Linked DNA regions of Canis lupus familiaris. The protein of the gene in region 2 purifies or fractionates together with the protein of the main gene of each other region. This does not show direct contact. Links are inferred from orthologs where the notes say so. Each region holds a gene or a part of one and is shown on either strand. Other genes may lie near its edges. The genes, in order: GTF2A1 and TBPL1.

Region 1 (3,826 bases), on a different chromosome or scaffold from region 2:
GGTTTGGTTTTAAAAAGTTATCTTGAACTATCCAAGAGTTCATTTTCATTTTTCAAGTTTACAATTCTTAGCATTCCTGACCTCTAGCAATTAATGGGTCTTCTGAAACAGAACTATAATTGACACAGTATGTTTGGTAGGTGCCCTAAACCCATTTTCCAAAAATAGCATGGGACGGAAGATCTCTCACAAAACATTATTCTTTTGGTATTTTCAACAGAAAACTGCATAATTTTATGAACCTCTATGTCTAAGTATCAAGCTAAATTTTAGATGTGCTGCTAAACCCAATAACGAGGAAACCAAATAAACAGCCATTTTGTTAAAGTCTCAAATAAATTTCACATTGTTAATATACAACACACCTAAGCATAATCACAATTTTGAGTTAGAATAAGTAGAGCTAAGCAAAATACTATATTCCAAGTCTTACCATATTTGATGCGTTCATATGTTGTATCAGCTTAGAATCAGGAACTATAACTTGTGGTGCAGCAGCTATTATAGAAAAAAACAAAAAGCACAAGTGCAAACAAGGAACCATGAGGCTGTTTCAAAATACTAAGAATGCTATACAATGATGAGAACTTTTTTTCCTGTTTTCTACATCCAAATGCATCCACCCATTTGATACCTAAGAATGTTATAAATTTCTATGGTAAATAACAGCTGTGATATACCCATATTATACTTAAAAATATCAATTTAAAAAAAGATTTGTGTAACAATACCTAAGGATACAAAGAAATTTGGATGCATGAAGTAGTGAGATACCTAAAACCTATACATATACAGCTCTGTACGTTCTTAAACTGGAAAATTTCAAACAAAATTTAATTGTATCTTGCTAACTCAATATTGTTTAATACTACTGTTAGAATGAGTTAGTAACCCATTAAGAATGAGCTCAAAGAAACTATTAACTAGGTTTTTTTTTTTTACATCTACATAGCCTTCTTCTCCCATTTGACAGCTGTCAAAATCTTGTTACTTCCAACAACTTTTTAAAAAATATAAATCAGAAATAATGGCTGTTAAAAAAAGAGAGAGAGAAGAAACAATGGCAATGTTACGTAAATATAAAAGGAATTAGATGTTTGATTCCGCAAATTTCAGAGAATAAACAGATAATCCCATTATCCTAATATTCTCTGAGTGAAGAAAATCAAATTTTAATTTATGATGACCTAAAATCCTAGTGCCAAGGCCTGAAGGCAATAGGAGGAACAGTCATCAAAACAGATGAAAAAGGATAAAATTATTTAATGCAGGTATAGAATAAAATCAAATGTTAAAGGTCTTATTTGGTATAAACAGTAAAACAATCCAAACAGACATTTCTACCATACATTACTTACTATGTATCACTATCAATTTTAAGTCTTATATATTCTCAGCCACTCTCAAATAAGGCAAATGGGTAGTAATTAAACTTTTCATTTACCTTCATTCTCCTCTCCAATAATAAGATTTACAAAATGCAAATGCTTGGAAAGCTTCATGACCAAACAGGTTTGTGATGACAGAAAATACTTGTTACATGTAATAGGCCAACCTTCCTGGCCTTCTCAGGGCCCAAATTTCCCTTAGTATTAAAATGTTGGGAGAACTATTTCACAAAGCCTTTTGTAAAGCTTCAATGAAACAAATTTACAGATTTACTTGCATAGTACAAAGAAGTATGGACACAGTCTATATTTGGTTTTTTTCTTACCTTTAAACCAAGTAATATAAATTATGATACACACACACTCTTCACTTAAGTCTAATTCAGCCAATTTATACTTACACAAAGTATTAAAGAACTGAAATTTCAGACTGCCATACTTACAAAAATCCCCCAGTGCTTAAGATGTATTTATAAAAAACAAACTTAAATGTCTTTGATCAATTTTACAAAGAAAGTGGTAACAATTTTACCATATGAAATAATGAAATCCTTAGTAAATAAATCTTTAATAGGTCTGACTTATTTAGGGAAATCTACCGTTTTATAGCCTTCTCGAAAGAAAGTATTAATACACTTTTAAGAATATCATCGTAGGCTCTCAGTTAACTACTTGTTTATAATTTCTACAATATAAAATCCACGTTTTATACAAAATTTGTATGTAAATATACATACACTATCCCCTCAGTCAATAAAAAGGAAAAACCTACAGCTATTTCTCTTCTTTGAAAATGACAAATTTCATTTCCACGTTGTAAGTAGAAAAATATATCCAGTCTCACCTTGCTGTGATGCAGGAATAAGGACCTGCTGAGTCTGCGCTTGCTGAGGTACCGTTTGCTGTGGTTGAGTTTGCTGATGGTGGTGGTGGTGGTGATGTTGCTGTTGCTGGGGTTGATGCTGCTGTTGAACTTGCAATAAAAGCTGCTGCTCTTCTGAATGAAATCCATCTACTGCCCTAGATTGCATTAGTTTATTCTCCCACAACTAAGGCAAAGAAAAGTAATGTTAGTGAAGGTAACTTCAGACATGTGGATAAAACATATTTTATTAGTCTGTTCATAAAATTCTTCCATTTTCAAAACCAATACAACCACAAAATAAACCAATCTCTAATTTTTACACAAGTGTATACAATAATGAAAAATAACTTTTAAAGTATCAAATTTCTTTTTTGCTATCTTGGAGTACTGAAGAATTTTGTTTCTTTTTTTTTTTTTTTAAGATTTTTTATTTATTTCTTCATGAGAGACACAGAGAGAGAGAGGCAGAGACACAGGCAGAGGGAGGAGAAGCAGGCTCCATGCGGGGAGCCCGATGTGGGACTCGATCCTGGGTCTCCAGGATTACGCCCCGGGCCGAAGGCAGGCGCTAAACCGCCGAGCCACCGAGGTTGCCTAGAATTTTGTTTCTTTTTATGTCTTCAAACTCTCTACGGTAATTCCAGGCAGAGTTTCACATAAGCAATTTTTTAATCATCAGGGTACCCTTTTTTAACATCAAAATAATTACTATTTTCATGGAAATCTCCCTTTAATGAAATATCTAACTTTTAAGCTATTATAGCAAAACATAAATTCATGTTTCCTTGATTTGAACAATGAGAAACATCATAGAGGCAATCCTCAAGTTAGAAAAGCCTAACTTTGTCTGATCCTACACAAGTTAAAAAACCAACAATGCCTAACGCTTTTAGAGGCATTCTCAACCCTCCACACCTTTTGAAATTCCCCTCCATCCTCCATCATGACAAGGAATAACAATCCTTTTCTGCTTTGCCACTTCTATTTTCTCCTCTCACCCTAGGACACAGCAATTATGATGGGGAAATAAATCAGACATGGGCAAAGGAAGACAGAAAATAAAATATTTATGACTACTGCATTCCTCTCCCTCACACATTTCCTCTCTAACCAGATTTAAGTCTTCATTGTGGAAAACCTTAACCCTTCTAAGAAATTGCCCAAGAAAGAAAACTATTCTTTAAATATACAAATGAAATTTAATTCAGTTATTTTGGGGCACCTGGGTGGCTCAGCTGGTTAAGTGGTCGACTCAGTTTTGGCTCAGGTCATGAACTCATGGTCCTGCAGGGAGTCTGCTGGTCCCCCCTCTCCTCCTTCCTCCTCACCTTCATCCCCGCTCCCGCGCTCCCTGCTCTTGAGCACAGTCACAGGCTCGCTCTCTCTCAAGTAAATAAAATATTTTAAAAATAATATATCAATCATTTTGTATACCAGCACCTAACACCTACATACACTGTTTTCCCCCCTAGGATATACTCTTGGAATATTACCTAACACACCTGAGGTTTCTATCAGAGCCTCCCTTTACTATGCTCACAACGCTTTACGAGTGTCTCCTTGACACTTCCAA
Region 2 (3,643 bases):
CCTGCATGGAGCCTGCTTCTCCCTCTGCATGTGTCTCTGCCTCCCTTTCTGTGTCTCTCATGAATAAATAAATAAAATATTTTTTAAAATAAAATGGCCACATAGAGTAGAGCCATAAGTGAAAATTAACACTTAGTATGTAACCATGGTTTTTTTGTTTCTGTTTTTGTTTTTTATTGCAGAAAGTATTAATGAAGCTTAGAAAACCTAGAATTACAGCTACAATTTGGTCCTCAGGAAAAATTATTTGCACTGGAGCAACAAGGTAAATTTTACTTGGATTTTTTATTTTAATTTTTAAATTTTTCCTTTATGGAAAGGACATTTTTCTAGACTTAAAATTATATGTACAGTTTGTCATGTTTGTCAGTATAAAATTTATTTCTTGTGTGACTGATAATCTTTTTCTTTCCTTAAAACCATAGTGAAGAAGAAGCTAAATTTGGTGCCAGACGTTTAGCTCGCAGCCTGCAGAAATTAGGTTTTCAGGTAACATTTTAAAAAACATCCAAACTGTAAATATTAAAGGATTTAATTTGTAAAGTTAAATTTTTTAATGTAATAGACTAAAGAAATCACACAGATACTCTTCTCATGATTGGCCTTTTTCTTACTGTCCTTCAGTACAAAAATTTCATAGTAAGCTCTCACCCATGTGTGTACTTGTAAATGATCCTGGCTTTTTCACTAACCCCTTCCTCATTGAGAGACTTGTTGCCTTACAAGTGAACTGCCTCTTCAACTCTTTAGGTTGTTCACTTCTCACCAAAAAAAATCTCATTTTTGATCATCTCAAGAGTGGTATGTTGGGATGATGAGTAGGGTGTAGGGCCCTATGTTTAAAAAGTTAAAGCGTATTTGTTTTTATTTATAGATAGGTATCACATAAATTATAAAGAAGAGAAAAGATATTAAAATGGAACTTGCAGGGACACCTGGGTGGCTCAGCAGTTGAGTGTCTGCCTTTGGCTTAGGGCGTGATCCCAGGGTCCTGGAATCCAGTCCCACATCAGGCTTCCTACATGGAGCCTGCTTCTCCCTCTGCCTGTGTCTCTCTCTCTCTCTGTCTCTCATGAATAAGTAAATAAAATCTTAAAAAAAAAAAAAAAAAAAGAATGGAACTTGCATAGATGTATGCATTGTACGGCTAAGAGTAAACAGTGTTCCTACATATTATGGTTAGTGAGAACATTACCATTATAACAGGGAATTGTAATTATTTAAAAATATGCAGAATTTATATAATCTGTGCTTTAGAAATAACTGTACATGATGTTGTAAGTTGAAAAGAATTGACATGAATAACTAATACCAACTACACACCTGTGTATAAGAACTCAGGAAAGGCTGTATTCTGTAAAATCAATCATAATGTATTTAAAATGACATAAATCCGGGACGCCTGGGTGGATCAGTGGTTGAGCATATGCCTTTGGCTCAGGGCATGATCCCGCCCTTGGGGAGCCTGCTTCTCCCTCTGCCTGTGTCTCTGCCTCTCCGTTTGTGTCTCTCAGGAATAAATAAAATCTTTAAAAAAATAAAATGACATAAATCCAAAACAAAATGCACATCATATGAAAAGGGACATTTATAAGATTGGTTTCCTGTGTCAAATCTGTGGTTTAGTCCACAAAAAGTAGACACTGGGTGGTGGGCTCTCACATGTAAAATGATACTCTTTGGCAGAGTATCAAGTCTGGCAGGTTAAGTTTATCAAGTATAATTTTATGGAGGCATAAATTTAAGTAAAAGTTAGTACATATTATGGACTTGTTATGTCACTTGCAAATGATGAGTAAATGAAAGAAAGGTAAAGATGAGCTGTGAGCCCCAAAGAGGTGGGCCCAAGCTGTGTGAAATTTGAATGAGTAGTGGTGGAAAGTTGAGTTTCTTTCTGACCTCTTCAGTCTTCATTGAGGTGGAACATGCTAGAAAGGCCTGGAAGTGCTGGTTGCTGCATGAGGAAAGAGGCGGTACTGAGAGTCTTGACTGATGGTGCTGCCACTTGAGACAGTTTTGTGACATTCATCAACTGCCTTATGCAAGTACTCTGCTGGAGAACTGTAGTTTGGGGACATTTCAAAACCTAAGATACAACCATTCAAGTTATTGGTAGGAGTGACTGAAGTAAGTTCCTTCTCAGCCTTGGAGCTTCTTGTCTTAGCATAACATTAGAAATGTTGAAAAAAATCCCAGTTACAAACACAGTCTTCTCACTCTGTCCCCCCAAAAGAAAACAAGCATCTCACTAAACTCACAGAAATATCATTTTATTCTATTGCATATAAGAAAATGTCTGACCTTGGAGCTCAGTGTATGCTCATTATTTATTGACTTTTAAGTGACCGCTTTTCCATTTTGACTCTTGAGAAGAACTCTGCTTTAATTTTTTTTCATCCTTCTTCTTTATCCTAGATTAAATATCTCATTTTAAGTATTAAGAAAATTAAACATAAGATTCAAAAGACCCTATGTGTTTTAATCCTGCAAATATCCTAGGTGTTGTTTAATTTTTTGAGGTTTTTGACCTTTGATTTCCCTTTAGAGTTGACTCTTTAACAACACAGGTTTGAACTGTGCAGATCCATGTACAGGCAGATTTTTTTTGAATAAGTATAGTATTATAATTGTATTTTCTCTTCCTTATGATTTTCTCTAGCTTTGTTGTAAGAATACAGTAGATTAAGATACAAAATATGTCTTAATTGGCTGTTTTATAGGTAAGACTTCCAGTCAACAGTAGGCTAGTAGTAGTTGAGTTTTGGGGGAGTCAGAAGTTATGCGTGGACATCTGACTGGCCAGGGATACTAATCCTTGTATTGTTCAAGAGTCAACTGTATGGTATTAAGAAATCACTGATAAAGTACAATATTGATGTTTAAGATGTACTTGTTCTTTCTTGCTCTTATTCTTAAGGATTGAAATAATGATTTACAATTGTTCTGATGAGCAGTTTTTTTTCTAATGAGTAATTTTTTTGTTTTAAAATAACTTATTGAGTCGTACTTCTCTCCTAAAGGTAATATTTACAGATTTTAAGGTCGTTAACGTTTTGGCAGTGTGTAACATGCCGTTTGAAATTCGTTTGCCAGAATTCACAAAGAACAATAGACCTCATGCCAGGTAGGTCTCTGAATAATCAAGACAACTTACCAAATTTATAATTACCTGTCAGCCTGTAAATATTTATATTAATTGTGATTTTTTTCTTTTTTTTTTTTTTTTTTTTGGTAGTTATGAACCTGAACTTCATCCTGCTGTGTGCTATCGGATAAAATCTCTAAGAGCTACATTACAGATTTTTTCAACAGGGAGTATCACAGTAACAGGTATTTTATGGTATTGAAACCAAGCTTAAAAAAAAAAAAAAAGAAAAAAAGAAACCAAGCTTATCATCAGTTAAGGTTTGAATGAGGTGCCTGTATTAAAATAGAAATAATGTCTCATTTGTCCACTTTAGTCACTTCTACTCCACAAACCAGTCCCCTGACTTTTAACACTGTAGTTTAGCTTCCCCTATTTTTATCTACTACTTCAAAACTTTATATATGCTCCTTGGGATCTCTCTTCTTTCATTGATTATTATTATAGTGAGATTCATCCATATTATCCCATAATATAGTAGTTATAGATCATTCTTAT

What was found.
Region 1: the proteins of TBPL1 (region 2) and GTF2A1 purify together in Homo sapiens (affinity purification with mass spectrometry; 5 studies listed by BioGRID and IntAct, counting the BioPlex papers as one, with this or other methods). This does not show direct contact. The link is inferred for Canis lupus familiaris from reciprocal best matches to the Homo sapiens genes TBPL1 and GTF2A1.

The regions. Positions count from the first base shown.
Region 1 is NC_049229.1:53,857,744-53,861,569, forward strand, and holds part of GTF2A1 (transcription initiation factor IIA subunit 1), read right to left. Parts: intron 2,438-3,826; coding exon 2,233-2,437; intron 1,237-2,232; exon of another isoform or gene 1,092-1,236; intron 499-1,091; coding exon 434-498; intron 1-433. UniProt on the Homo sapiens protein: TFIIA is a component of the transcription machinery of RNA polymerase II and plays an important role in transcriptional activation. TFIIA in a complex with TBP mediates transcriptional activity.
Region 2 is NC_049222.1:27,162,413-27,166,055, forward strand, and holds part of TBPL1 (TATA box-binding protein-like 1), read left to right. Parts: intron 1-182; coding exon 183-265; intron 266-425; coding exon 426-489; intron 490-3,020; coding exon 3,021-3,124; intron 3,125-3,235; coding exon 3,236-3,330; intron 3,331-3,643. UniProt on the Homo sapiens protein: Part of a specialized transcription system that mediates the transcription of most ribosomal proteins through the 5'-TCT-3' motif which is a core promoter element at these genes. Seems to also mediate the transcription of NF1. Does not bind the TATA box.